Linked DNA regions of Styela clava. The protein of the gene in region 1 interacts with the protein of each later gene in a pairwise test. Links are inferred from orthologs where the notes say so. Each region holds a gene or a part of one and is shown on either strand. Other genes may lie near its edges.

Region 1 (16,954 bases):
GTCAAAAGCTTGAAAATCCATACAAATACAAGAGATAAAAAGATGAAACTTGGCAGGTGGGTAGAGTTGTGTTTCTTTTACCCATCTTTGAAGGCTTTGCGTTTTTACATTCAAAGGAGGGGGAATAGGGGGGTGCGCATTTCCAATACGTCGATAATGTCTTTGTCAACCAATTTGCGACCACCGTGTTTTGTCTGTTTGATTGCTGTGATGTGGTGCTCTGTTTATACAGGTACTTGTAAGTCACCGCATATGATTTTTGGGGAATTGTTCTGCGTGTCCATATATTTGCGCATTGCTCTCTTGTTATATGTGATATTTTGAATTTTCTGCGTCATATGTTAGAAACATTTCGCTTCAGCGTATTCCGTACATCACTCGCACTTCTTTAAAGACTATGTTTTGATTTAAACATGACCATTGGTGTACTTTTTGTTTACTGATAAATGAAAATGTTACTATAAGAATATAAGACACACAATCAACTTTAACATTTTTTTTAAAGATTTTTTTTATTGCTCGTATAGTCGCATTAGAATGTATTCTAAAACATTTGCAGCAAAACCAACGAAGTCCCTCCACTGCTGATGCAATGGAATCAGCTCCGTGCAGTGTAGATGAAACCACTTATCGCACGCAATCCAGCGTGGTTTATCAGACCTACCATTGACTTACATACAGCGCAATCCTCCTTCTTTTTTTCTCTTTGTTTTGTAGACGAATTCCGACTTCTCTTCATAGTTTTGGCTTTATCTAATCTCATAGTTTCCTGTTTTTCTAATCTTTGAATTTTTCCTAACTCTTTTCTGTCCGCCCTTTTTCTTTTTTGTTCCTCAACTAACCTTTTTTTCTCAAGTGCACCCTTTATCTCGAATCTCGATTAGAGGACAAATTATACGGAGGAATAATTTTGAAATTGTTCACGGGCTTTTTCTTGTATTTTAAACAACTATTTTCTAGGCAAATTTGTCGAAACCGTATCAACACAAAAACTTCTTATTTCTAGTTCTTTCAAAGTCTCTAACTTCAGGTGTCTTCATGCGATATAAACCCCACTGCCTTCCATGTCTCTACACTCTAACTTCTTTTCAAACAGTGTCGTTTTATATCTCTTCCCAACGCATCCAAAGCTCTTCTGCACTTAGAATTAATTGGTGACAAACACTCGTACATTTTAGAAGCCGGGAATGTTACAGCATTTATACTCTGATCATTTAGGTTTAGCTTAACGTCATCTGATGTATTACAACTAAATTCGGATGATCGTGATGTAAACATCTGGTCGTCATTTTGCATATCAGACATATTCAAGGTGGTAAGCGTCTCTTCAGGTTGCTCTCCGTCAAACAAAAGAAAATCCGAGTACGACACCCCATGGTCTAGTACAGGGGTCACCAAACTACGGCCCGCGGGCCGGATCCGGCCCGCGACGTCATTTTATCCGGCCCGCGGCGTCATTTTATCCGGTCTGCAATAACACACAGAAATGGCTAAATTTTTTTCAAAGGGAGATTTTCACGAGCATCGTCGTCCTTGTTTATTTCGTAACATTGGCCAATCGACAAGATGCAAAAAAGTGACGTAATAATAGGCCTTTCCGCATCCGCTCAGATACTTTTGTCACCCTGACAGATTTTCAGTCGTGGTTGTAAAACAAAACTTCGTTTTTGCAACTTTGAATACTACCAGTACGTAACGTTTTCTGCGATACACTTGTACACTCGTGGCGCGTGCTTTCGACGGAACTGTTTGTTTTTTGTGCTGAAATAAACGTCGAATGTGCATTTTGTGCTAACAGTACTGTAATCCCTCGCGTACTGCTTCAATTTCAAAAGCCACACTAACTTTTGTACTGCTTTAATGCGGATATTCATGTAGGTATGTTACAAAAAAATTGAAGTTCATCCGATTTAAATAAAAACTGCTCCAGTGGGAAGATCTGAGTAAAAATAGAAAACAATACCAAGTTTATAATAAATGATCAAGAAATAACGGAGATATCGGAATTTTAGTACCGCCCGACAGGCCAATTTTTTCCATAATGAATGTATTACTTTTTTGATAAGAACTGAACTAAATATGGAAAAATAACACATATCAATCACTAATCTTTTGTTGTGCGTCACATCTATGGAATATTGAGACTATTTCAGGATTTTATTCTGGCAACGGTCATTGACACCGCCAAAAGATCGTCGTAAATAAACGCTGGAGTGCATGATAGTTTGACAGTGGTTCATTGTGGGTAATAATTAACGATGTTTTGGTTGTACGAACTTCATAAAAATTGTATCAAGTTAGGAAAGAAATACACACGTCCACATAAATTTTATTGGTGTCCATAGACAATATCATTAATTTGCTCTACGTATAACTGGAGCGTAGTTTTTAAAAGCGTCGAATGTTGGGAAATTTATGCGCTAATGAAAAAATCAAATACCAGATAATAGTTGTTTATTTTATCTAAATTATGTCAAAATTTCATAGAATTCCAAGCTACAGCAGGCAGTCGTTTTTATAAGCGGTATTTCAACACGGCGTAACGGTACTTAGCAGACGTGATGCATACATTTTTTGCCGCGGATTTTATAACATTTCTAATTCATGACAGCAACGTTTTGATAACATCTAAACTCAGGATAGTTGTCTCGAAATGGAAATGTCTGGAAATCATGTTAATTTTTTTTCCTAGAATGTTCTCGATCTATATTCTGCGATATTCCCAACATTTGTGAATTTATTGTATTGCATTGACAAAAATATTCATCCGGCCCGTTTCAACACAATTTGAGTCATATCCGGCCCGCGGTCAAAAAAGTTTGGTGACCCCTGGTCTAGTAGTTCATTGGACGCCAACACTCTTAGAGATTCTATATTTTTACTTTCAACAGACGTTGGGTCAGCAAGCAACATTGGAGTTACGTCGAGAGTATCCAAGACAGTTCCTACGTCCATAATCTCAGTCATTCACTTCCCAGATCTGATGTTGAAAATTATTGTGGACCTCAGGCTTTGTGGATTTTGAGATTGTTGATCGTCAACAAATATGGTGGACGGTAAAGCTTTTTCTAAATCCACAGCTCCAATGTTTGGAGGCCAAACGCCACATGTAGTGTGGGCAGGCAAACAGTAAAGAATGATATTGTTCTCTCTGGCCTACGTGCTCGTGCAAAAATCTTTGCGGGACGTGTGATCGTCAAGAAGAAGCACGACGGCCCCTCTTCTTGACTTATTGGGTAAATTAGGTATAAAGGTTTCCTCCATTCAGTCATAGAATGAATCTTTAGTCATCCAACCTTTATCGATTTCATGACATCTGCTTCCCTCGAAAAAATCCAGTGCGTGAGAAGGATTCATGCGGTTGACGGGAAAAATTATGTAAGGTGAAAGAACGTTGCTGCTGGCACTAATATAAATCAGTACTGAGAGTTGTGTTGTTTTGTTGCATTCGTTTACAGGCAACAACTTTTTTACCGGCCTTCGTTTGAAAGGATAATACGCTTTCGTGGCAGTTGTATACACAGCTTCCACTCGTGATATTATTTTTATCCAACATTGTCGTGTACTGTTCAAACCAACTGGTTACCCTTCACTCGGAACCAGCAATGACTCGCGCCACCTACAATTTCTCAGTTGACATCAGTTTTAGGTCAGGATTACGAGACAATAATCCGTACCAACTGGAATCACTGGGAAGATTATTGTTGAAATACCTCACATGCTTTCCTGGTAAATCTAAAATGTTTTCACCGTTTGAAGCAACTAAATAAATAATTATTTGAATAAATACATTCACCTAGATTTGGTCAAGAGCAGCATATGTCTCACGTCACTCTTTCCTATCCTGAGTTCATTTTTGGCATGTCCTTAAAAAATGTTTTTAATGATTCTTCCTCCTCATGTGTTAAAGTAGTTGGAGGCCCGCGTTTAGGCATCACAATGAGTGATATTTTTCTTGAAAATTTAAGATATGCCGTCGTTACTATAATTCGGCAAGCAACAAATTCAAACGTGCTTTATGCGACGGACCGATACCGAAAGAATTGTTGACAGTCGAAAAACAGTAACAAACCGGCCAGAGAAGATGATTGCGGCGGTTAGGCTACTTCACTAGACCCTTATGTTTACCTTTGTTTAGTTGATTTCTTTTACTGTACTACTGCTTCTTGTATGAATTTGCCTTCAGCACCCTGTCGCCATGCCACTGTAGAGTTTCATAAGTGTAGATTAAAACCCCTTTCGGATCCTGATTTCAATAATATTGTTTGCTAATGTCTTCCGAATGAGGTACTGCCCCAAAAAACAATGGCCCGTACCGAAGTTGGCGAACCAGGTTTCTTAGCGGCGGTTGACATGGTCACCCTGACTGAAGTCGCTTGCTTCCTTTGTTACAAACGAGATTCGGGTCGCCTCAATGTATTTTATTTCCGTATTCTCTTAATATTTGACTTTTTTCCTTTGGATGTTCGATTTCCTTATAGGTGACGCTGCTCGATAATCATTACTGGTTTATCGCGTCTTCCTTCACACTGAAATGCATTTTTCGTTATCCTATTTGTACAATGTGTATTTTCGGCATGTGTAAAAATAAACTACTGATACTAATTAATGCCACTGCTGAAACGATCAGACAAAGCTGCTTGAACGATCAGACGAACTGTCAGCCCCAGAAGATCATGGCAACAGATCTGAAGACGTCAAAAAGTTTCAGAAGAAAGTGTATCATTCGTCATGACAGCAAATCCGTGCCAGAAACGAAATACGAACAGTTTGAGGACTTCGTTGTAAAATCCTTAAACAGCAACTTGGAGCTTGACAGTCCCATTGTCAAACTCGATATCGACATCACCCATAAGTTGAGGTCAAAATCCCCGAAGAACCCTATCAATATTAAATTTGTCAGAAGATCGACAAAAAATTTAATATATGGTAAGAAGAAAGACCTGAAAGGTAGCGGTTTGTCCATCACGAAGTGATCAACAACCTCAATTAAATTTGCTTGCCTATAATCCGCGACTTTAGAAATCTTACTTGAACCTTTAACAACCTATATATTCCCGTAACCAATCTTCATACCTCTGTATCATACGACCCTAATTAATTTTAATTATAATTGCCGGTACTTTTGATTAATAGTATTTAAAATAATTTGGACGTTAATTTGGCTTCTATTTAGTGAGTGAAGCAGATCTAGCCCACCTCTTCATGCATCCAGCTTGGCAATTCTGATCGGGCAATTTGGCATTAGGTGACTCCAATTATAATCAGCTTGACGATATCTTTTGAGGAATATTTTTCTATCTACAGTATATAACTGTTTTTGACTAATTCGGTATCCAATATGGCAATCCTCATGGAATTATTAATTTGGTGTGGCAAAAGTATTCATTCATATTTTAATTTGTTTTTATATTTTTCTTTTTACCGAGTAAATTAATTGATTTTAAGTCTCGCTTTTTTAACTTCTAACCTTATCATGTTTCGATGAGTGTGCGTGGGTGCTTTAATATTTTTTTATACTTTTGGGTGAGCGAACACGTACTACTTCTTTTATCAATACTTTTCCATTTTAAAATTTGTACGCTTCAAACCTTGCTTAGGTTATGTTTGCTTTCCCGATTCATAATCAGTTATTTTGTTTTTATCTATTATTTTATCGTCTACTGCTGATAATCTAGTCAAAACAAGAGAGCAATGCTCAAATATATGGACACGGAAACTATTTGCAATAATTGCATCACGCTGTTAAACCGGCAAATATTTTTTGCATTGATAAAACCGCGACCATATTTCATAACATGTTGAACATTGTTGAAAAAGTTGTAATGCTTCTTTCTTGGCATATTTGTTGTTTCTGTGTTTACAGCAGAACTGTAACAAAAAAGCAACAAAATGAATATAAACATTGCAGCTTGCAGGAATACAAATAAAATGGACTAAGGTAATTTGACTGCAATAAAATAACAGTAAACATGTAAATGAAATGAAGTTGGTGTGCTCTGGCATCAAGACTTACATGCGCCACATGTTAAAAATTTTCGGATAAGTTAAGATGCTTCTTTCGTAGCATATTTCTGTTGTTTCCAGCAAAACTGTAATGAAAAAAGAATAAACATGACAGCTGCGAGAATAAAAAGATATACGTTAGGTTAGACGTTAATTTTACCGCAGGTATCAGGTTATGGCACCAGTAATGAACTGACTTTATTTCACTATTAAACATTTGATATGCTCAGCCCTTACACTTACCTGCTGCACATGTCAGCATGTTGAAATTTTTTGTAAAGTTTGTAATGCTCCTTCCTTTGCATAATTCTGCATTTGTGGTGTTTCCAGAAAAAACGTAACAAAACAGCAAAATATGAGAACAAGTATCGCAATTGTACAGACATTCTCATTACTGCATTAATAAAGAAGAAGAGACAATAATTGAATTTCCCTGCAGACGCACTACAAGTAAATGAATTCGGTAAGCTATGGTAAAATTGACAAAGTTACGACAAAATAGACTCTTCTTATTTTCACTGATAACTCTACTCTATTACGGTACTAGGTAGGGTATGTATTGTATTAGGTAGGGTTTGTTTTTAAGTCTGACAGTCTACCGGTACCGGTATCGCACCCATAAAAAAACTTTCAATACTGTCCCCATAAAAAACTTTCAATTCCCAACTTTCGCTAAGGCGGTACCGTACCGTCCCCACAGAAAACTTTTCAATTCCAGCATCCGCTAAGACGGTACGGTTACGGTACAGCGCAGAGACTGTCGTGGTTATAACAGGGAATGCAAGCCCCGCTTTTAGCATACGAGTTAGTTCAGTGTAACCGATTTTGCTCTTATCAAAATTAACTAATACGGTAGGCTAGATTTGCTGGAAAACCAACCTTATTGCAGTACAGTAGTACCGGTAAGACCGCGTAAGGAAAAATCGTAGCAAACAGCAAGGACTTCTTTACGAACCACCGACGTTCGATGGCACGTGATCAGAAGAATCGAGTGCTTATGCGACCGCAGAACGTTCGGTGACGTCATAGCAAACAAAAACAAATCTCACAGAGCTAACAGAAATATTTGAAATAAATAAAAGTAATAGCCTTCTGGAGAAAAATTTCATCTTCAACCACTAAAAATTTCAAAGCAATTGGTCCAGTAATCAAATAGAAAAGCGGTTTTTTAATATTTTCACTAGGTGTGTTAGTCTGTGTCAAACAACAAGAACAACATAATATTGAAACGATCGTTATGTCCATTTCGTGTCCAATAAATTTATACCTCTATTTCGCGCGTAGGATGGGTTTTGAATGACTGAGGTCTATTCCCCTATTCAGAGCACAGAGATATATAAATATATATTTCCAGTTCAGTGATTCAGAGCCATTATGGCTCTGCCCTATTGCACACATGATTGCACAAACGCGAAACTTTAAAGATGGTCAAAGGAAACACAACCCTACCAACGTGCCAAGTTTCATCATTTTATCTATTATATTTCTAGTGATTTCCAAGCTTTCTCAAAAGGACAATGGGTAGTTGACGACATAGAAATTTGGTCCGTTTTTTTCCCTAGGTCGTTTTTTTGGTCGTATTTTCGTTGTTTATGGAATTTGAGTGGGATTTTGCAGAGCTACGAGGACTAGTGGACGAAAGCGCGTGTGGAATATCGCCACGGTTCGTTAAATTTTCCGCATTAATTATTATTAAATCAATGAAGTTAATGGCCACAAAGTGGCTAAGCCACCCTACTAATATAAGCTGATAAGTACCGGTATAAATCATGCGGAATTATATCTACTCAAATCCTAACCAACTAACTCAATATTTGTCACCATAAGGGATAGCCCTGTCTTCATGGTCCACTTGCCGTGGTTACGGCAGCAAAATTTTACCTGCCATTGACCACTGTGAAGCTAGTAGCAAACCTTCTTCTAATTTTGCGCAGCGGTGCGTATAATCTCGTTTTTTTGCTCATTGAAGGGTGAAATGACAGTTTTGTGCTTATTGAAGGGTGGTGGCGTAAAACATGGGCGAGTCCTAAATTCCACACAGAGAACAATGATTAAGTTTGTAGACAGGCTGTGGAAGAAATACATCACGAAGTACATCACGATAAGCAATAAATTCAAATATATTTGACGGCAACTTAGGATACAGAGTGGAAAGCATCCCGGCGGTTTGATCGCCTATGCAGTTTCATTTGTCATAGTACGTTGTCGAAATTAAATATACTCGGCTGATAAAATTGATCAGGACAAATATTTTGACAAAAAATGTTAGATTACGTATTCATATAAGCTTGAAAATATAACGAAACGAGTGTTCCATGTCACCTGCATAGGTTTCGGTAATAACTGCCAATTAAAAGCTAAGTTATGTTCAATTTATGTGACATTTTTTGGAAATACTTCTCATGCCTGCAAACATTTATACAGAGGTGCAAGATGGTACACGAACTAAGAGAAATAAGCAATATCAACCGAGCCATTGAGTTGAGGTCCAAATCGTCTGACCAACTCGATTTACATTATTAAACACTGTGATACCGATAAAAAATTATATGGTGCCCATTCCGTGATGCTTTATGCGCGCTGCTTATTTGGCTAAAGTGTTAATTCAACCAAGAGCCCCGAGCATTTTTGTATAACTTTAAAAATATTTCAAAACCAGCCTACTAAATTACAACATTTCGTAGCCGTAAAAGTGCTTTACTTCGTTTCAAACTGTGTATTGTATTACGTAACAAACGTTAAACTTCATTATAATATGTCTTAGTAATTTAAGAAGTTTCACATGCATTTTGTAGTATAAAGCAAATTCTTCAACACATGCAATAAACAGAACGTAAAAACTGTTTTGTTTCAATATGTCTCACTGGCGCTGAAATCAGAAGTCAGGTTATTATATGTCGTACATTATCGTTATATCGTAATTTGGATATTTTGAAGATCAGCATAACGTCTCTTCTATATTGGTGGCGCGAAATATTAATTTTTTATTCAAGAGATGACAAATTTCCAGAATTATGTGCAATCGTGTCATTAATACACGATAATTTTATAAAAATGGTACAAACAAAATTATGCAATTTACAAAAGTCAAAAAAGCTAATTTTGGCAACTTTCAAATCCCAGCAGCACACTCTACGCACAAGAGGCATTCGATTTGATTATTTTATGTTAAAGAAGTTTATCTGAAGTTTTTTACACAACTAGAACCTAAGCCTTTTTTATTTTAGAATCTGGGGTATTCTCATAGCGAAAATGGCCTTATTTGGAAAAATTACGTATAGCTGAAAAAGCTAATTTAGTCAATTTTCAAAGCCTAGCAGCACACCCTTCCGCACAAGAGGCATTCGATTTGATTCTTTTATGTTAAAGAAGTTTGCCACACAACTAGAACCTAAGCCATTTTTATTTTAGAATCTGGGGTATTCTCATAGCGAAAATTGCCTTATTTGGAAAAATTACGTATAGCTGAAAAAGCTAATTTATTCAATTTTCAAAGCCTAGCAGCACACCCTTCCGCACAAGAGGCATTCGATTTGATTATTTCCCATTAATGAAGATTACCTGAAGTTTGCCACACAACTAGAACCTAAGCCTTTTTTATTTTAGAATCTGGGGTATTCTCATAGCGAAAATGACCTTATTTGGAAAATTACGTATAGCGAAAAAAGCTAATTTAGTCAATTTTCAAAGCCTAGCAGCACACCCTTCCGCACAAGAGGCATTCGATTTGATTATTTCCCATTAATGAAGATTACCTGAAGTTTGCCACACAACTAGAACCTAAGCCTTTTTTATTTTAGAATCTGGGGTATTCTCATAGCGAAAATGACCTTATTTGGAAAATTACGTATAGCGAAAAAAGCTAATTTAGTCAATTTTCAAAGCCTAGCAGCACACCCTTCCGCACAAGAGGCATTCGATTTGATTATTTCCCATTAAAGAAGATTACCTGAAGTTTTCCACACAACTAGAACCTAAGCCTTTTTCATTTTAGAATCGAGCTTTTAGCTTTTATTCTTAATTTTGGTTATATACTTGTTATTTTTCCCAAATTATAAACATATTTCCCATAATAGTATGCTAATTTCGTTTATCTTCATTTTTTTGGGTGTAGATTCTGACACGCGCCTCCATTTCTGCCTTAAATATTACCCTTTCCGCTTCGCCGCACACAAAGGTCAAATTGCTACTAGCTTCACAGTGGTCTGCCATTGGCTTTCAATTTGCTGCCGCGGTAACGGCAGCTCGTCATTGGTTTGTGCTTGTGGCAGCTAAAAAGTCAGTAGCCATAGGTTTGGCTGTAGCGGCCATGGTATGGAAATACTGCCATGGTTTTGCGGCAGCTGCAGACGCCACAGAATACTTGCACTTGTCGAATTGTATGACCATAAATGTTTTTTTCAATGTTCAAGAGTGTTCCTCCCATTTTGACAACACGGTTTCGACTTGCAGGGTGATTCTGTAACACATAACTGCATAATGTCCAAAATAATTTCATTCTCTGGTATGTTTTCAGAATAGGCCTATATATAAACGCAAGAACAATGTCTCTCTATGATGGATTAGGTTTGGATAGTAATCAAGGTGAAAAAGCAACCGGGTGGTCTTCCAGTTTCACAATGCTAAAGTCTCAACTTGAAGCAAAAAAGGCAGCTTTAACAAAGGCAAAGCATGAGAAGTTTCGAAGTGGGAACCCTGTTGTTGCTCCTGTGATTAATTTGAATAAAGCAGTAAAAACAGAAGAACAGCTTGATTACAGCCATGATGACAAAGTTAGTTTTAAAGTTGTGGATTATTTCTTTTTTAAATAAAAAATTTCCAGGTACTTTTACCGATTGGTTCGTGATTCTAGCTGCTGAGCTGTGCAGTTTTAGAATAGATGTTCTATCTTCATAAGTTCGTATATTACTAAGCAACATATTTTAAACGTTTTTGCATTTCAATGATATAGCTAGTGGATACAAAGCCTAGTCCGTTTCTTGGTGGAGAGAGTCTTGATCAATTTGAAGATGAGTACGATCCTAGGTATCCGAATGAATATGAAAAAGTTACACGAAAAAGAAGAGAAAGACGTCAGCGGGAAAGAGAAGAGGAAAGGCAGAGAGAAATGGAGGACAGACGGAAAAGAAGAGATTCAAGACATTCGGATCGTGATAACAGACGAGATGATCGAGCACCCCATGGTAGGATTAATACAATTTTCGTGATATTGCGAATACTTTAAAACCCATATATTAGTTTTTCTTGAATCAGTGAATCAATAATTTTTGATGGATAGTAGCCTTAAGTGATCACAAATATCTTGTGTTCACTCTAAAGAAGAGTTTAAAAGTAATCAAAAGCCTACTAATCTTTACTGACATTATAGTGCTTCAATTAATATTCGAAGTTCTTGGAGTTGAATGACATACACATACACATCAATTTGAAATAGTTCTAAGAAAAAGGGGATTTTGAATGCGGAAAGTGATAGAAAATTCATATTTTACCCACTCTGGATCAGGTTCCAGACATGCTTGCAATTGTTACTTTGTAGATAAATATTATGTGCTTAGACATATTCTAACCATCATTTACACTCTTGAAATTAATTTATGTGAACTTCAGTTACTGTGGGCTTAAACAGTCAGCTAACTATGAGACTGACTCCTTTTATGGCACCAACATACATTGATGATGACTTCATGAAAGCGAAATATTATATATGTAACCATTGTTGTTGTACAGGTAGGTTTGGTGGGCCAGGAAGTGGATTTTCGCGACGACCTGCATCTGACGAGGATGAAGAAGATGATGATTACGAACGAGAAAAACGTATCAGAATGACCCAGGGAAGTAAAGCTGCAATCGCACCTCCAACTATTCTTATAGAAGAAGATAAAAAGGCTGAAATTGCTCCTCCACCGCCTCCTCTAGCATTAGCAGGTTTCAATATCTTCATTTTTCAACAAGCCGTATATTAAACGAAAATTCTAGTCCAATTCATTAAACTAACAGTAAATACTTATTGGCTTAGGAGGTGTTTGTGTATTCAAGGCCTCATTTTTAGCCATATAGAAACTGTGTCAGTGTCGATTGAAATTTAACAGGGTGTAATTTATGTAGAGAGAAATTTCAGATTTTATTTTTAGAAGACTATATGAAGTAAATTTTATCCTTCATGACTCACTAATAGTATTAGGGAATTATAATATTTTTACTTAATTGATATTCCTCCTCAAAAGAATTCCTATCCAATTATTCGATAATAGTGAACACTTGATGCATTACTTGTAGGTGGAGCTGGAACACAATTTGCACGAAATATGGCAGGTTCTGTAGCACACAAAATCATGACAAAATATGGATTTAAAGAAGGATTGGGTCTTGGAAAAGGAAACAGGGGCATCAGTCATGCATTACAGGTTTGTCACATTTTCCGTGTTCGATACAAAGATGTTTCAATAAAATTTAATGAAATAAACAAGATTAATTTATTAGTTGAGAATTGTAATTTGGGGCTATTTTTAGTGTAAAATCTTTTTGGGAATCACAAAAGAAAATATTTCCAAAAGTTTACCAATACAGTACAGCACACTATACAGATCAAGTGACATTGTCTCGTTACAGAGAAACCCATTTTACAGATGATCAGACACCCCTCTTTTGGGAGACGTTTGTACATTGCTGTCTTTCATATATCGTATAATGAAGTTGGCAGTTGCACAAAATACTACAAAAAAACGCAATCTAATAACGTCATCATTGAATTCCCCGGGGAAAAAATAATCCAATTTACAGAAGAAAAATTTTTTTTATCCTGGCATACGAAAGTTTTTACCGAAAAACGGCAATTTTGATCACATGACGGCTGCGATTAATTTAGATTATTATTGAGACAAGCATGGCATGATCTGATTTGGTGCCACACGCCCCTCGTTTGTGAGACGCATGGAGTGTTTGTTTTATTGAACCAAATGGAGGGAATTCTTGGAATTTGGATAGTGTGCCGTACTGCAATATAATAGTGCAGAAAATGCTCAAGGCTGCTCATCCCTGATTGCAGCCATTTAAGTACATCCTTTTTGCCAATCGTTTGACCTGGAGCAACACTTATGATTGCATAGAATCATCTGGAAAGAAGCATTAGCTTTCCTAAAAGTAAAGTCTCTCTTTTGGTATGTTGTCTTATAATAGGTTGAGAAGACAAGTAAACGAGGAGGTAAAATCATACCAAGTTCTCAAATTGAAAAACAACTTGAAGAAGAGAAGAAAAGGGAACAGGAAGAAAAAGAAAGTGTAGCTAATTTGTTAAAGAATCCTACAAAGGTATTTTTACTTGTTTCTGTTTTTTTTTCACATTTGGTTAATGGTATAAATAAGGCATATTTTCTATGTTTATCAATGCTCAATCTACAGGTCGTTTGTCTTCGTAACATGGTTGGGCCTGGAGAAGTTGATCAAGAATTAGAAGGTGAAACATCGGAAGAATGCAGCAAATATGGGGAAGTTAGAAAGTAAGTTTGCGCAATTCCATCGGTTTGATTAGATCTACTATTTATTTATTTGCTATGAACTGGATTTATTTTAAGATTAGATTTTGAAGCAAGATGGAATTCTATAATTCTCTGTCATTTGGCTTGTTTCATTTTATCCTTGTCAGTGAATTCAATTTTTATTTACAGATGTATGATATATGAAATGGTTGGACAACAAGAAGAAGAAGCAGTTAGAATATTTATAGAATTTGAAAGACTTGAATCTGCGATCAAAGCAGTTGTGGATTTAAATGGAAGATATTTTGGCGGAAGGACTGTGAGAGCTTGCTTTTACGATGTTAGTAAATTTCGTGATCTACACCTTGGGGATCCTCTCTGAGCTGACTGCCACTAACAGCTTTCCATATCATCTGATGGGAACAATGTGTTCGCTGCAAGCAAGAATATCGCCATTCTGAGGAAAATGCTAAGATTCAGGTCATGAAAAGCAAGGACTTCGAACTTGAAACATGCAATCATGCCATGTCTACCTAAGTACAATACGTCCACCGGGACTGATATAAATCCTTGTTTTATGAATTTATTTTCTTGTAATATCTAAAGAAAATTTTTTTACAGTTCAATTTGATAGCTTAAGATTGATTAGCTGGGGTCTGCTGATTCCTGTGGACAAGTACGGGTTTCCAAGCAGAATTAAGCGAATATGCGGAGCTAGCAATGTTGATATGCTTAGATAGATATGATACAGGTTAAAAAGGTCTTTCGACTTTTACCGCACTCACAACTTCACATAAGGTTGCACAATAAATAAACTTGTCCCATCTCATCGTGAACAAGCAACTAAAAGACACTAATGCTATGTCCTGGTGCTTGATAATTGAACTCCTTAAATCCAACAAATTCAAAACAAAGGGAGTGATGTTTTCTTGTTCTTTTGGTTAGGTTGATATGACGATCTAAGGTTTATATTCTCACTGGACAATGCTGTGCAAAATGGATTCTTCTGTTAACAGATCTCAAAATTATGGTATACGTGCATGGTGCATTGTCTTACTGTCCATATCACGCGGGAAGTTCTGTGGTTAGGTTTTTTGTATAGACCTTCCGGCTTGAACCATGCTTTTTGCGCTTTCGAACAGCATTGAAGTTATGCTACTTAAATGACCGTAATTTTAATACTGTTAAAAAGCGTCAGACATATAAATAGCATTTTGCCGTAACTTCAATACTGCCAAAAAGCGTCAGTTGTTTAATTTTCCAATAGAATTTCATTGTAACTACAATACTTTAATAAAGCGTCAGTCGCCTAACCTTTAAATAGCATTTCACCATAACTTTAATACTGTCAAAAAGCGTCAGTCATTTAAATTTGACTTAATACTGGTAATATTCGATTTCACTGAAGGTATAAGTTTGGGTTACAACGCGAGACTAACTGTATTTAGTCCTGCTCTGTTATGCTGACGATTTGTAGGCGTATAATAAGGCAAGGATGCTGTAGCCAACTGATAGTGGTCAACATTCAACGCTGGAATAGATATGCATTCTTCTTTCGAAAAGAGAGCTCATCTGATTCACACCTACTTCTTGCCAGTGTGGGTCAGATCAACGTTTCTAGTATAATAATAGCCTATTATTAATAGGTATAAGTATATTTTGATTTTCTCGCAAAAAATCATACACAAAACACAAACAATGAACACACGGAAGATTGGGAATATCGGGGAAACTGGCAAACCCTTTATAAAGGTTTAATACATGGAAATATGCATGCGCCAGATTACCCACGCCAGTTTTAGTATTCATTGAACGTCAGCAATCATTTGAGGATTTCATGACAGATGCGCGTAGTGATGTTATATCTAAGCCCATGTATCTGGGTCGAATTATTAGTTAACTCTTTCAATAGACAACCAAGCTTGTTCGTCTGACGGTAGACTGGTTCGCCATGAGGAATTGAATATGTGTGAGGAAGGATAAGCGAAACGTAGGTATTGAATATCCCAGACCCATGAATATTTATGTTAATCAGTCTTCGAATACACATTACTATATTGATATGTTAGTCATCGCGTTATTTTAAGTTTGTTTTTGTTATAAGTAAGACATAAGTAACACACAACGGGAATGAATCTAATCTCAAACGTCTCCAACTGCTGGGAAAGTTGTTCGGTTACATCAATCTGTGATAACGACATTTGGTCATTTCAGCTATAATTTGATGACTGAACGAGATATTAATTCAATGTAACCATTATCATGTTTTAGTAAGTAATAATAATTACTCGCATACATTTGATATCACAGTCATGGTTTTAAAAAAAAAACATTTTTTTCTTTTCTTGGAGAGAGTCTTAAAATACGCCACCATGTGCTGAGCTAAAGAATTGAGTGGCGGGAACTTTAAGGATTCGGTGATTCCCTTGAATGCTGGAAAGTACCTTTCCGCTCGTTCTCCTTGTCCGTGAATTCGACTGAACTCCGAGGTTGCTTCTTGATTGCATTCTTATTGAAACCGTGCACTGATATTTGATTTCAACTTGTGATGGAAGCTCCTAAGAATTTTCCGTTCCCATTCGTTCCTTACGGAATACAAACAGATTTTATGAGGAATCTTTATGAGGCAATTGAAGATGAGAAAATTGGTATTTTCGAAAGTCCCACTGGTAAGTCTGTAAGCAGGCAATATTTGTGATGATAATCCACTATAGTGATTGACTAAATAGAATATTTCTGTTTCTTTATTTTAATTTTCCCTCTGACGTTTGCTATATGTCCGTATGTCGAAGGGTTAACATACAAACATATGTTCCTTCTCGAAGTCATATCGCAAAACAACATGGTCCAGTCAGTGGGCTACTAGCAGATGCAGAGATGAACAATAGAATTGCAGTTTAGTCTTTGAGAGATTCGATAATCTATCTTCTGTGTCGAGACAATCAAAAGAACTTCTAATTTTGCGGTATTTCTGTATTGTATTTACTCACCAAAATTTCAATGAGTTGCGAAAAATCATCCATGCCACACACAGGAATAAAAATAAAATATGAACATAGGAATATTTTTCAGGAACTGGGAAATCAATGAGCATCATTTGTGGAGCTTTAAAATGGCTCCAGGATAATGACAAACGAATTCGAGGAATCCTTGAAGAGGGAACTGCAGTAACAGAAGTTCGTATTTCAGTATTCAATGTTTTCGTATAGTAAAATAAATTTTAGCAGATCAACAAATGGAATAGATAAAACAAACTATTTCCTACTTTGCAAAATATGAATTGATTTTAATAATGGTCAATTCATCTCTTTATTTAATTCAGTAATTGCTTAGGTCTTGATAAATAGGTAGATGATCCATTTCATTCAATTTTTCGTTTCATTTTGTGACCATACAATATTTCACTTGGAAATAATCAAAGTAAAATAAAAAATAAGGAATATGGCATTGTTATGATTGCAGAATCCTTTATT
Region 2 (16,061 bases), on another chromosome or scaffold:
GCTTGTACACCCCTTATTCTAAGCGAAATGCAGATATACAAAATATTTAAAATTGATAAAAGACTAAAAACAAACTTCAAAACATACTTTTGTACTTGATTTTCCAACGTCATTTTCAGCATCACTGTCATCCAATGGTACGCCGTCAACATCATCTTTATTTTCTAGTTGATCCCATTTAGATGTCGTCATAGCTTGGGCTTCCACATCTTGAGGATCTACTGTTTCCCATTTACTTTGAACAAATCTTGGAGTTCCTTTCGACTCTTTATCAACAGACTTGGTTTCCACTGCAAATTAAAATGATTCTTCACAAAGTCTGTTTCGAAAAGTTATCATCTCCATTTGATTGAACCAAGGTTTCTCAAACTGGGCCATCTGCCCCCTAGAGGCCATGGAGCAGTCCTCTAGGTGCCATAAGAAAAGGCCTTCACTAGCCAATTCGTGACGACTACAGTAATTTAAAGTAAATCGACAGTGATTTGTTACATACTTTAAATGTAATGCATTTATTCTTTTGATTTCAATTGCAGTTTTTTTTATTTATTAAACATGTCACAAAAAATAACTGATGAAAATCGTGTTAAATAGGCAAAACTAGGTAAGGAAAGTGGGCTCTTCAAAGGGGCTATTGTGCATGCATACTAGGACCACATATCCATATTCAATGCCATTTCTGAAGAATGATAAATAAACAACTACACAAAAGTGGTGAAAAATCTTTAAAATTTGATATTATTTTTAACATCTATACATATTATTGAGATTTTCAAAATTTAAAACCTATTATTCTGTTTATACTAACTAGATTTTGGGCAACTAAACCTGCAATCCTGAAATGCTAATCAATGCAGAATTGCACCAAAAAACTTTAGTATTTACATGGGATTCCATCAATATCTTCTGCTGCTTCTATCGGCAATCCATCCACATCATTATCGATTGTACCAGCATCGATAGGAATACCATCTACTTCATTGTCTTGTACATCCAAGTTGAACAATGCAGCACCATCGATTTCTTTACCGTTAATTGAGTCATCAGCCTCTTTTTTCATGGTCTTATTCTGCGTAACGTAACACAATAAATTAAGGAATCTAAAAATGACTAATATCACCGTAGTTCTGCAAGACTGCGATACAACTCATTATATTGCAGTATTTATTTTTATACAAACAAATGCCTGGAAGATATTTGATGATATCAACATTGTTCCTAAAATATGAATTTACAGATGGTATGCATGTCGATATTAATTAATCCTTTCCTCAAAACCAATCATACTAACCTCCACTACATGAAGACCCAAGAAAGTATTTTGCAGTGAAATAAGAAATTGTTCATGATAAACAGCCCAATCTTCCCAGGCACGGAAACAATACATAACTCTCTGTTTAAATTGCTCTGCACGAAGTCTTCCCTGGATGTTAGCATGGCATGAATGGATGTCCGACATGATTTCTTGTAATTTGGCTTGAAAGCTGGATAAACAAAAATGAGAAAAATAAAATGATTACATTTTCGTGATTTCTAATATTTATTATCACCCACAATTACTTAGGTAATATGTCAGAAATTATCGTTTAAACAAATATATTGCAGAATATCTTGAAATCAAGAATTCATTAGAGTCCAATACCTCTGAAACATACCCAATTCATGGTATTCTTCGCACAAATAAACAACAAGTAACTGCTGCGATTTACATATACTTTTTTTGGTCATAATTTGTAGACAATTATTTAAAATACACTAATGCATTTTTATTTCTGAGCATAAAATTGTTACTTAAAAAATTGGTTGCAATTTTGTAGTTCAAACAATTTGTCTTTAATAGAAGTTAAACCAATTAGTTTTTACGTACTGTTTTCGGAAAAAAGAAGCATTTGCAACTTTCGCACTGCAGTTGTATAATACATCAGAAATGAGATAAAGACGAGCAATTTTCTTTGGCAAAGGTGTTTGTAATATGGAAAGAGATTCAGCAATGCATTCTACAATTTCTTCTGCTGCATCAGAATGTTCAAGACAAAACACCATTGCTTCAGCAATCGCTTGTCGTGTTGGTAATAAGCCACGAAGTATTTCTTCCAGTTTATCTCGATCCCTGCAAACAGTATACTTAAATGTAAAAATCTGATTGATAATAAACTGGAAGTTGGACTTAAAACATTAATATTTATCAATAAATTAGGCGGGCACTGCTGCACACACAAGTGTTAATCCTTTAAATCAGAGGTTCCCAGGTTAACGAGGGCCAAAATTAAAAGTGGAAGAATATTTCCGGGCCAGGAGCGTCAGCAAGATGCCCATACCGGTATGTATAATTAAGGTACCAGTATAATTAAATTGTTACGAATATACAAGTGCTTACGAGTATAGCGTGCTTTTTTAGAACGCAAAATAATAAATTGAGAAACTATTTTACTTAATTTCGGCGGGCAATTCTAAATCGTTATGAGGGCAGTAATTGGCCCATGGGCCACGGTTTGAGAACCACTGCTTCAAATAGCAATAGATGGCTACTTGTCTAAAGCGTGGTTCGAAGTGAAGCTTAGTAAAATACCCAATAAAAAATCTTTGTGTCGGAAGTGAGCATTTTTGTAGATGCATGAAAATATGCTTTAAAAAGCCTTATTCGCAAGTGTGAAACACTGAAAACAAATCAGGATGCATGAGACTAAGGTAAAATAGAAGTAAGGAAGCTGATACTTATGTTTGATATATCATCAAGGCCCATGATTCTCTGGACCAAAATTTAAATCAATCATATGAACTCAAAAAATAACTCACTCATCTTTCAACTCCTGTCTTCTTTGTTTTTCTTCCTTTATAGATTTTGTTTCGACTTCTGTCGTCTGCTGTTCATCTCCCGACTCTGAATCTGACATTACTTCTTCATATGGATTTATAGGTGGAGGACGCCACATTGACCCACCTTCAAATAAACGGAAATCCTGGGTTCGCCATTTTGTGGCCGTTTCACCCTGAAAAAATAAAGATATAAAAGCTTTGGGAATGTAAAAATGATGTAGACCAGGAAAAAATTTTGTAGACCATCACTTTAGAACAGGGTTTCCCAAACTTTATTAACCACGGGCCGAAATTAGAATCGGAAAGACGTTCGCGGGCCGGAAGAATGTAGCGCCCAAAAGTGGATTCACTTTCATTTGAAATTTTTTCAATGGAGAAATACGAACACTGCCATTTATCCAAGAAACGTTAGTTTTCTGAGTCTAGTTTTCGTTTGATTTCTGACATCTTTAAGCTTTCCTATATGGCTGATAACTAAATTACTGCCCTATGTAATCCTAACTCCGGTATCTATAAGTAGGGATGACGGAATCGAGTCCGGGTTCGATTACAGAGTCGATTCTTTGCGGAATCGACCAGAATCGATTCCGATACATTGGAATCGATTCTCGAGGTTGAATTTTGGATTTTAAACAATGTGTAACGTTTTGTGGCAACTCCTTCGCATGTATGTATGAACTGCTTTACTGCTAAGTTGAGTTGCTACGGCGCCGCAAACTTCACTATATATATTTATTTCGCTAGAAGGCTTTTACGTGTACGTTTATTTATTTCTAAAATTTCTGAGGGATTCCTCTTTTTTGGTGCGATTTAGTCTCCTGTGACAGATTGAATACCCATACTACTTAGTTTTGGCCTCCTTGTCCGTCCATATATTGGAACATCGCTCTCTGGTTTGATTTCATATGGTATTGCTTAGGTGGGTATGTTTTTTCGGAAAGATATGTCAAGGAATCGAGAATCAGAATCGAAAATTTAGGAACCGGGTAAGAATCGAATACTTGAAAGTAATCATTCTTAGCATCCTTACCTATGAGTGGTATGCTGGTATAATTGAATTGCTACGATAAACACTTGCTTGAACTCTGATAATGACATAAATTAGCGGTATCTAGATCGCAAAAAAGGTAGAAATATAATCTGTTGAACACTATTTCACGTAAGCTCGGCGGGCCATTTTAAATCGTTACGCGGGCCGTATTTGGCCCGCGGGCCGCGGTTTGGGAACCCCTGCTTTAGAATTATAATTTAACTAGATCCTTCATTAGACTTATTTGAAATACCTGTAATATTGAATACATCCTCCATCTGTAATAAATATGAGCAGGACTCTGATTCTCAAATAAAAATCTGAAATATACAATATTTAAATATAATGTAAACTGTAGAAAAGTTTCTTTACGAGAGTGCAATCAAGAAAATTATCTTGAATTCGTATTATCCGACACACTATTAGTCATTATATGTTTGAAAGGGTCCTTGAGTGGAATACAAATAAGTCATTAATTTAATTAACTTCTAATATCGATACCTATGCGTCTTTCATAACTAAAGCATTAACAATTTGAATCTAAATGAATTATATAATTTGGACATGTGGGTAGTTCAGAAAAAAATTACAGATACATCAAATCAAAAATGAATGGAACATGTAATATATGAAATACAGATTGCATCCAAATATATATGAATTAATATTTTTGAAATTTGAATAATGGAGCGTGTGAAGTAGATGAACATGATTGGATTATAATTAATATCGAAAAGCTGCAAAAATTGATGAACCTGGGGGAATAAAATTTATTGAAAAATTGTACAATCCTTTATAGAGAACTATAACCATTTGTATTTCCAACTTCTCCGATATACCTATTATTAGCAATCTTTTAAGATCAAAACAAAATATATAAGATACCTGAACATGGGGTTATTAATCTCCCTATTCATTATCATTGCTTCAAACATCGGTCCTTCACGAACGACAAATTCAATCATACGATGAATAATAACAAGGACGCTCCTGCAATAAATTGCGGGTTATAGGAAAACTAGCCTACGAGAGGCCAAACACCACAATTATCAGATAGATTGTCGGAATTGCTGGAACAAAAGAGAATCACAATGGCTTTAGTTCGAAAATTCTATAATTCTTCTTTTCAAATTTCAATGTGTGAATTCACTGATTCAAAAAAAAAACTGAATTGACTGTGATTTGAGGGATTGTTATTTGAGGGACTCAAATAAAACATAGCATTAACCAGAACCAAATGAAAAATTAATAAATGAAAGTTTGGGGGCTTCTCTTTTTAAAACGCAGCCCCAAGTCAGGAAAAATTCAATAATGCTGTATTTTTATTTTGGATATATTTAATTAATTTAATAAATGCAAAAATGTACTGCAAAATTAGACTATTTAAATAAAAAAACGAATTTCAATAATCTGGAATTGTACAAGCACCAGTGGAAGAATATAACTCATTTAAACCAATTTTGCATCAATGCATATCGATAAAAATAAAATTTAGGAAATCCTATTTGATTTACGTAACTTCACAAAAAATATTCGGCAAAATGTTTCAGATTTACCAGTGGCATACTTGATCGGCTGCTATAAACTTACCATACTTTAGTTACCACACAACACAAAAACAATCCTACGCTAAGTAATATGTATATAATAATACATTTGTGAGATACTGATACCTTTCAGTTGGGATTACCACCCTCACAACTGATTTTGCCAGTGTCTTTGGTTTTGAACAGATAGAGAGATGATGCGAGAGACGGGATGAAGCCACCAATGGTAAAATAACAGGGAAACACGAATTAGGAAATGATATAAAACATATAATAAAGTATAACTTATCAATAACTTGTGTTGGAGAATACACAACATTATCAAAAAAACTTTGAAATTGAAAAATTATCCCTTCTAAATGAACCACCTGATCATCGCGTTTATTAATTTCAGGAGGAGGAGCTAAGACTTCAAGATTTAATTAGAAAAATATCTTGAAGGCAATACTTACTAATCGTCGAAAATACATAATATGCCAAATCGAAATTTCTGTTTAGAGTCTATATTTCCTATTCATAACGATCTTTTATTTTCAATCATTTATCCCTTAATTAAATTTCAGCACTAAAACTTCCAAACTCTTTTAAATATAAAGCTATTGTACTTGGAAATTTAGATAGAAAGGTGAATATCTCAAGGTCATTCACATATCCACAAATTATGTTTCTGATCTTAGAAAAAAAAAAAAAATAACTGAAAGCTGATGGATACCAAATCTTACATCTTCGAATTCTTCTTGATCACGAAATGACGGAGCTACTCCAATCTCTCCCGATGCTTTGCTGGGATCTTTTGGTTGAGCATTAAAAGGCAGTCCAGAGGGTGGCGGAGGTAAAGTACGTTCAAGCATGATAGGTGGGACATATATTGGATGTGGTGGAATTGGTACTGTTTTTCCCCAACCCAACTTCATTTCATAGTCCATTGTCATTTTTCCTACAAGAAATAAAATGACAATCAAATCGGGTCAAGGTAACAAGTTCACTTTCAATGAAATTGATACACAAAAGTGATAAAGTAACACTTATTGAGCCATTTTCACAAGACTTTCATAAATCTTGTACATGAATCAATCAGGAAACAACTGATTACAAATCACTTTAGTTTCAAACATATTAATTTATCATGAAAATTGCTGCAATGATTCATCAGAATTCTCATGAACACATGTACTACATAAATATTGTACTAGCTATAAACAACTGAGAATTCAACCTTGTAAGTTTTTCATTGCTTTTTCAGCATTTTTCCTCGTCATGAAAGCAACAAACGCACAATTACGCTCCCTTGATCTTTCTTCCTCTGTTCTTGGCCACATAATCTAAAATACGATAAATAAAACCGACATATCCTAATTGTGTTCTGTTTCAAGCAACTTTTAAAAAAAAAAATTCATACTTTAACACTTGCAAGCGGACCGTATTTTCCAAAAACACCACAAAGCATTTGTTCGTCCATTTTAGGATTGACATTTCCAAGAAAGAGATTTGTAGTCATAGGATCCCCGCTGTCGTGTGATCCTGGTACAAGTTCATCAAGCACTGTAAAAACCAAAAGTTTGTTGAAAAGGTGGAAGCTTGACAACAATAAAAAAAGATTAATTATATGAACATACGTGAAGAAGAATCCTGTTCACGATCCCTTGGCGGAGAGCTCACATTTTCAAACCTTGATGGTCTTGCTTTTTGACGGTTGTCAGTTTTCGTAGATGATGATGTTCTTGTGGAATGAGAGTTGCGATCTTTCTTGAAAGCATGTCGTTGTTCACGTTCAGCTTGAATGATTTTTAGTTCCTCTTTAAAGAGCTCTAAATTGCTCTTTTTCTTATCGTCCTTTTTCTAGCGAAGTAACGGCAGCAATGATTAGTTGAGATTAGAAAATGAAGTCATATAACTATGCATGATGCTCTTGTTAAAGATTCTTTACTGATACACGAACCTTAATAGTTGGTCGATCTGGTTTCATATTTTTTCCAGGTGTTGACACTGATACATCAGGTTTCGTGGAGAAACTCTTCACAAGCTCCTGTAGTTTGGATGTTGGCTTGTACAACTTTCCCTTTTTGTTGCCAGCTGTACAAGAATTTGGAAAATAAAATGTCAGAAATGCTTTGGTATTCCAAGAAAATTGATTATTGGAAAATATTTCTTACTTTTTTCATCAGGGTTTATAACGTCACCACGAACAAAGGCTTTACCACGGCCTTTGTCACCTTCAAATGACGCAACAAACTCGCTATAAACTTCCGCAGTCTTTTTTTCTTCCTCTTTCTTTCTCATTTCTTCTTTGTCCTTTTTAGACATTCCGGTCTTCACAATGTTCATTCGTCCAATGCTGAACGCCTTCAGTTTACTCTCTGGTATCGACTATAAAAAAACAAATTGCCGATCAGTGATTTGTGGAAATCCGAGTCAATATCGAGGGCTTCACCAAAGCGGTGTCAAAGATTATGAAACAACTGTTTTGAAAAAATGAGGAAAACGTATTTTCTTGATTTTTAATATCCTGTGCCTCTTCATTGAACACTCTGGCAAATATCGCTTCAAACTTCGATTAGAAAACCGGACGAAAAATCATTTATATTTTTGTAATTTTTTTTCAATTTGTCCGCCCATTTTTTTGGAACCGTTGATAGGCTGTCATTGACACGTAATGCTCTTGTTACAAAGCTAATACGCAATTTATAAAAAATATAATTTAACACCAAAAAATTGATTGCAATTTTTACATCAATACATGGTTACTGAAGGTTAAAGTAGTAAATGTTAGCTGTTGTAATTATAGAGATCAAGATGAGATTTTTTTGCTCACTTTCATTTTGAATGTGTTTTCCATCTTGAATTTTCTGTTCCTCCTGTTTTGTGTATTTACTTCAGGGAGTAGCACTTGGTTTTGACCTCTAGATTGTCAACAAACTGCAGAAAACAAGCAGTGGCCAATCCGGTCATCAACAACCCGATACTGAATAAGACGCACTGTAATACATCACTTGAAAATATTGAACTACAAAGTTTATTTGCAATGTGCTGCAAAATAATATTAAAACTGTAATATCAAGAAAAATGATAATTTTAATACAGTTACAACACAGTAATATGGATATATGATCCGCAGCTGTGAGGTGGTACACTAATAGCAAAATATCATATTGAAATTCCTAATCCTAATCTTCAAAGCATATTGTTTTTTTGGGGCTTCCGAAGTATGCGAACCAAGATGGCGGACATCGGAATGTAATATGTGTACTAGGTTGGGGTTAGGCCATAATTTTAGGTATAAATACTACGGGAGGCTCTTGGCTAGTCTTCGAACTGATAATAGGACTAAAATGAGGAAAATTGGAAAAAAATTATCGCCTAACCCTAACCTGTTACCCATGTTACGTTCCGATGTCTGCCATCTTGGTTCGCATACTTCGGGAGCACCGTTTTTTTTCTAGATATCCTGATGTTATCACCATACTAAAGAACTAGGGTTAGGTCTGTAGATTTCTGAATACCAAAACATCACACAGAAATAATTGACTGTACTAGAATCTATTAAATTACTTCTCTTTAATAAGATATGATTTGTTCTTTATATCTCATCCGAAGACAAATTTGGAATATTTATCATTGTCGAGTGTGGACCATATTACTTTTCCTTTAATGATACATAAATGTGTTTGAGACTTCTTCCAAAAATGTTTAAATTTCCGAAGTTATTTAATGCCAAGCGATGAAATTACAGTATGATACAGTTCACCGATTCTATAAATAGTCCCAGCATCAATTTTAACAGTGAATGTATTATATACACAGTACTATAGGCCCTCATATTGACAAACCGACACCACACAATATATTGAAAGAATGCATAATCTAAATTGCAAAAAACACAAGTTTGGTCATGCACCGGCCGCTGCACACCGCGATTGATTCATATTGTTACGGTATCAAGACAAACATGGCATGTTTTTACACATTTGCCTTCGTGTTAGATGCCCTCGTTTCTGAGTCAAATATTTGAATTTAGGAAAAATTTAGAACATTTTTATTGACAAATTGTGGATTTTGAGCTGTCAGACAAACGGGTATATCTCAACTAGTAAAAAACGAAAGAGAAAAAACATTGACCTTTATATTCATGTTGTTTTAGTCGAGTCAAAAATGCTGCGTTTTTTAAGCGGAAATTCAGTTCCAACAGCCGGCCGAGTGAGATGACGCCACCCGAGACCAAACTCAATCGATACAGGTCAGCAGGTCAATACTGACAGATAAAAATCTTAGTATGCAGTTGAAAGTTTCCAAATCGCCAGTTCGTCCTAGTATAAAGCGCTTAGTAAAGCGAAAAAGTTTCCAATATCTCACTAGGCAAAACATGCAATGAATGTTCTTTATACTGCAATATATCATTACTGCATTAAATAACTTCAGTTGTATGGATGCAGTTGTCTGGTTGTCCGTTTTAGTTTATGAAAATTAATAGGCATCATAGTATGACTAAAAGTTGTGCGGCCCGCTTACTCGGCGTTGACTGATAAAATGGCTCGCGATCGAAAATGGCTTCGCCCCCCTCGTTGAGGATATAATGTTAACGATTAATGTAATTTTCCACATGAACTTGTAACCAATGAATTTGGAATGTATTCAATATTTAAAAATCCCTTGAATAGAAATATATTATTGCATAAGCTAAAAATGAAGGTGATTTAGTCAACAAGCTTAGAACACATGACTATCAGACTATACAGCAGTTCGTACAGGTACGGTACCGTCTTTGGACAAACTGAAAAAGCTAACTTGTACTCTTCAGCCCTTGGCGGCTTGAAAACTAATATGGTGCAATTTCTATATGCAATATGGGTATAAGTATAGCCTACTCAGGAGAGGAACTGTTTTATTTCTGAGAGTGAGGTGATGGTTCGCCAGTCTGCCAGTGTCAGAGTGTGAGGGAAATAGGTGTCGTATGCCAGTATTCTCGGGGTCTCTCTGTCTCTGGACTGACTGAGTAGTCTATAAAACAAACAAGACTGCATCACTATCCGCCTACAGCCGAACAGCTATTCAGGACCATGATCGTATGGAATAATGTCGGTGTGCCCTAATTCTTTTTTTTTTTTGAAAAATTTAAATCCATAGCTAAATCGGATTTATGAAAATGATAGTTTTGGTTTATCCAGATATATTATGTCAATTTAATTGCATGAATCCCAATTTCCAATTAATTTAGGTGATAAGTATACAATAGGCTACATGATATCAGTATCAGTAGTTTATTTTTACACATGCCGAAAATACACATGATACGAATAGGATTAAGTAAAAAAAGAAAAAAATGCATTTTAGTGTGAAGGAAGACGCGATAAACCAGTAATGGTTTTAGGAAGTCTAACATCAAATTTTATAAAGGAATAAAATAACGAACATTAAATACTAAGAGAATACGGAAATAGAATATATTCAGGCGACCCGAATATCCGAGTCTCGTTCATAGATAATAGTTGATAGATAAATAATCACAAATATTAAATAATCCAGATAGGCCTACATTTACCCATATTAGTTCAAATATCCAATTTAAATTGTGTCCACATTCATGAAATGTCAATCCATGTAATACAGTGACCATTGTGCATACATTTTTTTTTCATTTTCAGTAGTTATACTATATATATTATAAATTTAACCGATATTAGCATTTAGGGAAATGGAAAACAAATTTTTTTTAAAGAATTAGACAAATAATCATAAAAACGCTCATCATGCTATTAGGCGTTTTCCAGATTCTCGGATGCCGTAATTCAATGTAAAGAATTACCGGTACCGTAGCTCCGCAGATGAGCCTGCTTATCTAACTTACCGTAACGAATGAGTCAACGAATGTAGGCTACCGTACCGTCCTGCGCAATGGCGTTATTCACACGTTTCGCTAGGGGCGCCATTGGATAAGACAACAAGAGAGCAATGCTCAAATATATGGACACGCAGAACAATTCCCCAAAAATCATATGCGGTGACCAACGACTAACATACCGGCGGTGACTTACCAGTACCTGTATCGGGGTACCGTGACGGTACAGGGACTGTCATAGATATTTTAGGTCCTGTGACAATTGAAACATCAGTTGAAATATCTCGTGATATGAGTCAATTATGTACCGTATTATCGGATCAGGTACCGAACCACAGTCAAACATTTCACATAAAAACGTTACTAAATAACATGCGTCAACTTAACACCAGCCGAATCGGGGTACAATTTTTGGTACAGTGACTGTCATAGCCGTTTAGGGCTGTTGGACAATTCGACTACACGGACAACTCACCAGGCCTAGGGTGGTGTAGCCAGTCTGCGGACAATTTCATTCAAACCGCTATAAAACAAAAACCAATATATCTAACCCATTAATTTTTTCACCGTGGGTGCATTGGCGGCATTTATTCTACACGCTAAACCTCGTATTAACTTTCTACGACAAAGGGTTAAAGCTATACAAATCCCCAAAGTACGGCACTCGAAAGACGTATTTGCGACCGAACGACCAGTGTGCGACCACGGATTTCAAGCCTTGATCATCGTTTCTGCTGCGTCGAGACTACCGCATACGCAGCCATACAGCAATCAAACAGACAAAACACGGTGGTCGCAAATTGGTTGACAAAGATATTATCGACGTATTAGGATAGGATTTACATATTTATCCCGGGGGAGAGAAGTAACTATCAAAGATGGTTAACACAACTCTACCCACCTGCCAAGTTTCATCTTTTTATCTCTTATATTTGTATGGATTTTCAAGCTTTTGACAGCTACGAGTTAGTTCAGTGTCACCGCGCTGTGTTACGGTACCAGAACTACTCTATCTTTAGAAGTTCCTGTCTTGTGACAGCGTGCAAACATTGGGCTTCTAATTGCATTTCTGGCCGTCATATATTTCAAGAACACGGTTATTTCGAACAAAACTCGTTAAATTATAAACAAAGCAAAACATCACAGCAATCAAACAGACGAAAACACGGTGATCGCAAATTGGTTGACAAAGATATTATCGACGTATCGGAAATGCACACCCCCTATTCCCCCTCCTTCAAATGTAGAAACGCGAAACTTTCAAATATGGTTAAAAGAAACACAACTCTACCCACCTGCCAAGTTTCATCTTTTTATTTCTCATATTTGTATGGATTTTCAAGCTTTTGACAGCTACGAGTTAGTTCAGTGTCACCGCGCTGTGTTACGGTACCAGAACTCCTGTCTTGTGACAGCGTGAATTGAAATTGCAAGATGGTCCGTTGGACACAAAATGGCGTCCGATATCCTTAGAACGTTTAGTGACGTCATAGCAAACAAAAACAAATCTTACAGAGCTAACAGAAATATTTGAAATAAATAAAAGTAATAGCCTTCTGGAGAAAAATTTCATCTTCAACCACTGAAAATTTCAAAGCAATTAGTCCAGTAATCAAAGAGAAAAGCGACTTTTTAAAAACGTGTCAAAGAACAAGAACAACAACAACAACATAATATTGAAACGATCGTTATGTCCACTACGTGTCCAATAAATAACTCTATTTGGCCATGCAATGGACCTTTCCCCGAGCATCGACATCCTTGTTTTTTTGGGGACATTGGCCAATCAGAATGATGCAAAAGTGACGTAACAATGCTTCTTTTTCGCTTCCGCTCAGACACTTTTTTCACTCAGACAGATTTTAAAGCGTGGTCGTAAACTTTACTTCGTTTCTGCGTTTTTGAACTTTATTCGTTAGTTTTCTGTTGTGTTTCGGAAACTTAAAATATAAATCAGATAATTCAATGATCACTCTGTCTTCCTAGAAGTTTTAATTTAATTGCAGTAATAAAAAATTAGTGTAGAAATAGCTGTGAGAGACTAGGCTAAAATTCTTTACCGGTAATTTAAAAAAAAAAACAGATTGTTGTATGCGATGAATCATAATGATGGTTTGAAACACATACCCTATTTTACAGGCGCCAACTCGCAAAAGCACTCTTAAAATAGCCCCGAAAATTTTGCCATGGTAAAGTATAGGGAGTAATTTTTCGAGGGTCAAAGGTCGGGGAAAGGTCCATAGATTATAACTATTTCAGACATAAATTATTGTACACCAGAATAGCAGATTTCATAGCAATCAAATAATTACGCAAGACTAAGATTTAAAACAAGTCAAAATAAATATAAAATCATAGACGCACGCAAGAAGAAATTTGAGTCATTGTGTGTCTTTTATTTTTTATTTAAATTTATTATTATAATTATTTGATGATAATGTTTCATGCATGACGAAATAAAATATCTGAATCTGAATCATTCTAAAATTTAACGACAAAGTATTTACATGTCCTGAATAACCGAGAAGTAATCTTTCAAATACAATTTACGAAAAACTAACTAGAGAAAAGCTACCATGTAAAAATAATCGGAACACATTATTTAAAAAAATCAGCTAGGCCCGTTAAAAGATATATAATAAATATAGGGGACACGGGTAACGTGACTCTGTTTACTGGACGGCAAAAAAAACAAAAACGTTCATTTGGCTCCTGTCAGTTGCAAGTCGGATCATACGTTTCCGTTTTGTTTGGCTGTCGGAAATGGTTATTCCGTATTGTTATGTTGGCTGTACGTATAGTATCAATGAGCATATATACAATGAGTGGAAACTTCCAAATATTTGCTCATTAATCCATTGTACCCTTCATTTTTTACGTCGTCCAGCTAAATGGTTCGTTGTATATGAAGAAAGCACATCGTTCGCTGCAAAAATCCCTTGGCGCGGCGGTGTGGCTCAACGGGCTAAGCGTTAGGAATACGCTCGCCACCGCACCTCTAATTACTCTGCGTGGGTTCGCAGGTTCGAATCCCCTGCAGGAATGGTTATGTGCGAGAGGATTGCTGGCCTCCTCGCCGTCGTTGGGTGGTTCACGTAACCGATGGTCGGTTACGGCTTCCTCCACCACCAAGTTCATGCTTCCGTAAACAAACAATATATAACTAATCCCATACCCGACTTGGAATGGTAACCGGACGAGAGGCCGTGGTTCGCCATATGGATAAGGCGTCTTATCGGCTTTCCTCTCCCCCGGGATAAATATGTAAATCCTATCCTATCCTATCCTTGTTTCAGCTGGGTCGAGTGCAAAATTGGCCGTATTGAGGCTTTTGATTTTTCGATTCGTGTTCGGTTTTGGGTTTCGAAGTATGGTACGTTGAAAGCATACTAACTATGAGCATATGCATATTGGGAATACATATCTATTAGGCAGAAAACGTAGCTACAGAACAGAATATGAATCAGTCGCCACGTGGGGTGCGGTTATTGCTGTATTTATTCAGTGATATAACATGGGACTTACATATTTATCCAGGGGGAGAAGAAAGCCGATAAAGCCTAGGCTGCCTGGACTTTGTGAGCTTTTGGTATACTTATTAAAAATACGGATTTTAACTATAAATTACTCTGGGATATCTTGCCATTGAAATTTAAAATTATGATGAAATTAAAACAGTGCGCCAAAAGTTCAATTCACGAGGGCGTGAGGAGTGTATAAATTAAAAACAATGCGTCGTTCACAGCGAAATTCCACAGTCACGTGTAGCTCGCCTCTGTTTTCTTGACGGTGTTTGGTGAATATATACACAAACACGCTCGCGTGTAGCGCCGATCGAATCATGAAATGTGGAAATATTTACTTGGAATTTAATGCTAACCAATGAGCATATATACAATGAGTGGAAACTTGCAAAGATTTGCTCATTATGGCATTGTTCCCTGCATTTTTACGTCGTCCAGCTAAATGGTTCGTTGCATATTAAGAAAACGCATTGCTCGCTGCCAAAATCCCTTGCTTCAGCCGAGTCGGGTGCGAAATTGGCCGTATTAACTTGACTTGAGGTCTTTAATTCTTCAATACATATTTGATTTTGGGTTTCGAAGTATGGTACGCTGAAAGCATACAACTATGAGCATATGCTTATTGGGAATGCATATCTATTAGACAGAAAACGTATCTACAGAACGGAATATGAACCAGTCGCCGAGAGGAGTGCGGGTATTCATGTATTTATTAATTAATATAACATGGGATTTACATATTTATCCAAGGGGAGAGGAAAGCCGAAAAGAAGTCCTAAATATATGGCGAACCACGGCCTCTCTCAATCATAGCTCTGTCCTCCATATGAATCACATGGCTCTGCGAGCTATTCGTTTACTTATTAAAAATACTGATTTTAACTATAAATTACTCTGGGATATCTTGTCATTGAAAACAAAAGCCAGAAATTGGAAGAAAAGCAGGGAATGAAATGTGTGTATTATGTAATGGAGAACCTGAGTTTGTTTCACATATTTTCATGTATTGTGAATTTACAAAAAATATTTATGAAGATTTTGTTTTAGATATATTAAAATTGATTAGAATACATTTTGTTATTAATATGATTCTTGCATATTATTTAATTTTAACGATTCTTTATATAGTCGTATAGATACTGTGGATTTGGATGCAATTATACTTTTGTAATCAATAGTGAGAAATATTTCATGACTGCTATTAAATATGTGAGCTTTTTTTTCTGCAATGCAAAATATTTCCTTTGTCTGCTATTTACTATGTGAATTAATTTTTCTGTATTGTAAAGTATTTCCATAACTGCTTTTATTAT

Evidence for each region.
Region 2: the proteins of splicing factor 45-like (region 1) and U2 snRNP-associated SURP motif-containing protein-like interact in binary tests that used the Homo sapiens proteins (3 or more experiments, as listed by UniProt). The link is inferred for Styela clava from reciprocal best matches to the Homo sapiens genes RBM17 and U2SURP.

What each region holds. Positions count from the first base shown.
Region 1 is NC_135252.1:14,904,681-14,921,634, reverse strand, and holds splicing factor 45-like, read left to right. Parts: upstream 1-10,499; 5' UTR 10,500-10,550; coding exon 10,551-10,778; intron 10,779-10,957; coding exon 10,958-11,189; intron 11,190-11,733; coding exon 11,734-11,931; intron 11,932-12,282; coding exon 12,283-12,410; intron 12,411-13,182; coding exon 13,183-13,314; intron 13,315-13,404; coding exon 13,405-13,502; intron 13,503-13,670; coding exon 13,671-13,863; 3' UTR 13,864-14,129; downstream 14,130-16,954. Other genes in the region: ATP-dependent DNA helicase DDX11-like, read left to right, coding at 16,030-16,150, 16,554-16,657. UniProt on the Homo sapiens protein: Splice factor that binds to the single-stranded 3'AG at the exon/intron border and promotes its utilization in the second catalytic step. Involved in the regulation of alternative splicing and the utilization of cryptic splice sites.
Region 2 is NC_135258.1:18,777,624-18,793,684, reverse strand, and holds the start of U2 snRNP-associated SURP motif-containing protein-like, read right to left. Parts: upstream 8,456-16,061; 5' UTR 8,228-8,455; coding exon 8,204-8,227; intron 7,759-8,203; coding exon 7,545-7,758; intron 7,465-7,544; coding exon 7,331-7,464; intron 7,231-7,330; coding exon 7,008-7,230; intron 6,934-7,007; coding exon 6,791-6,933; intron 6,714-6,790; coding exon 6,608-6,713; intron 6,329-6,607; coding exon 6,114-6,328; intron 5,562-6,113; coding exon 5,518-5,561; intron 4,835-5,517; coding exon 4,730-4,834; intron 4,165-4,729; coding exon 4,098-4,164; intron 2,988-4,097; coding exon 2,794-2,987; intron 2,108-2,793; coding exon 1,865-2,107; intron 1,482-1,864; coding exon 1,289-1,481; intron 1,067-1,288; coding exon 883-1,066; intron 291-882; coding exon 88-290; intron 1-87.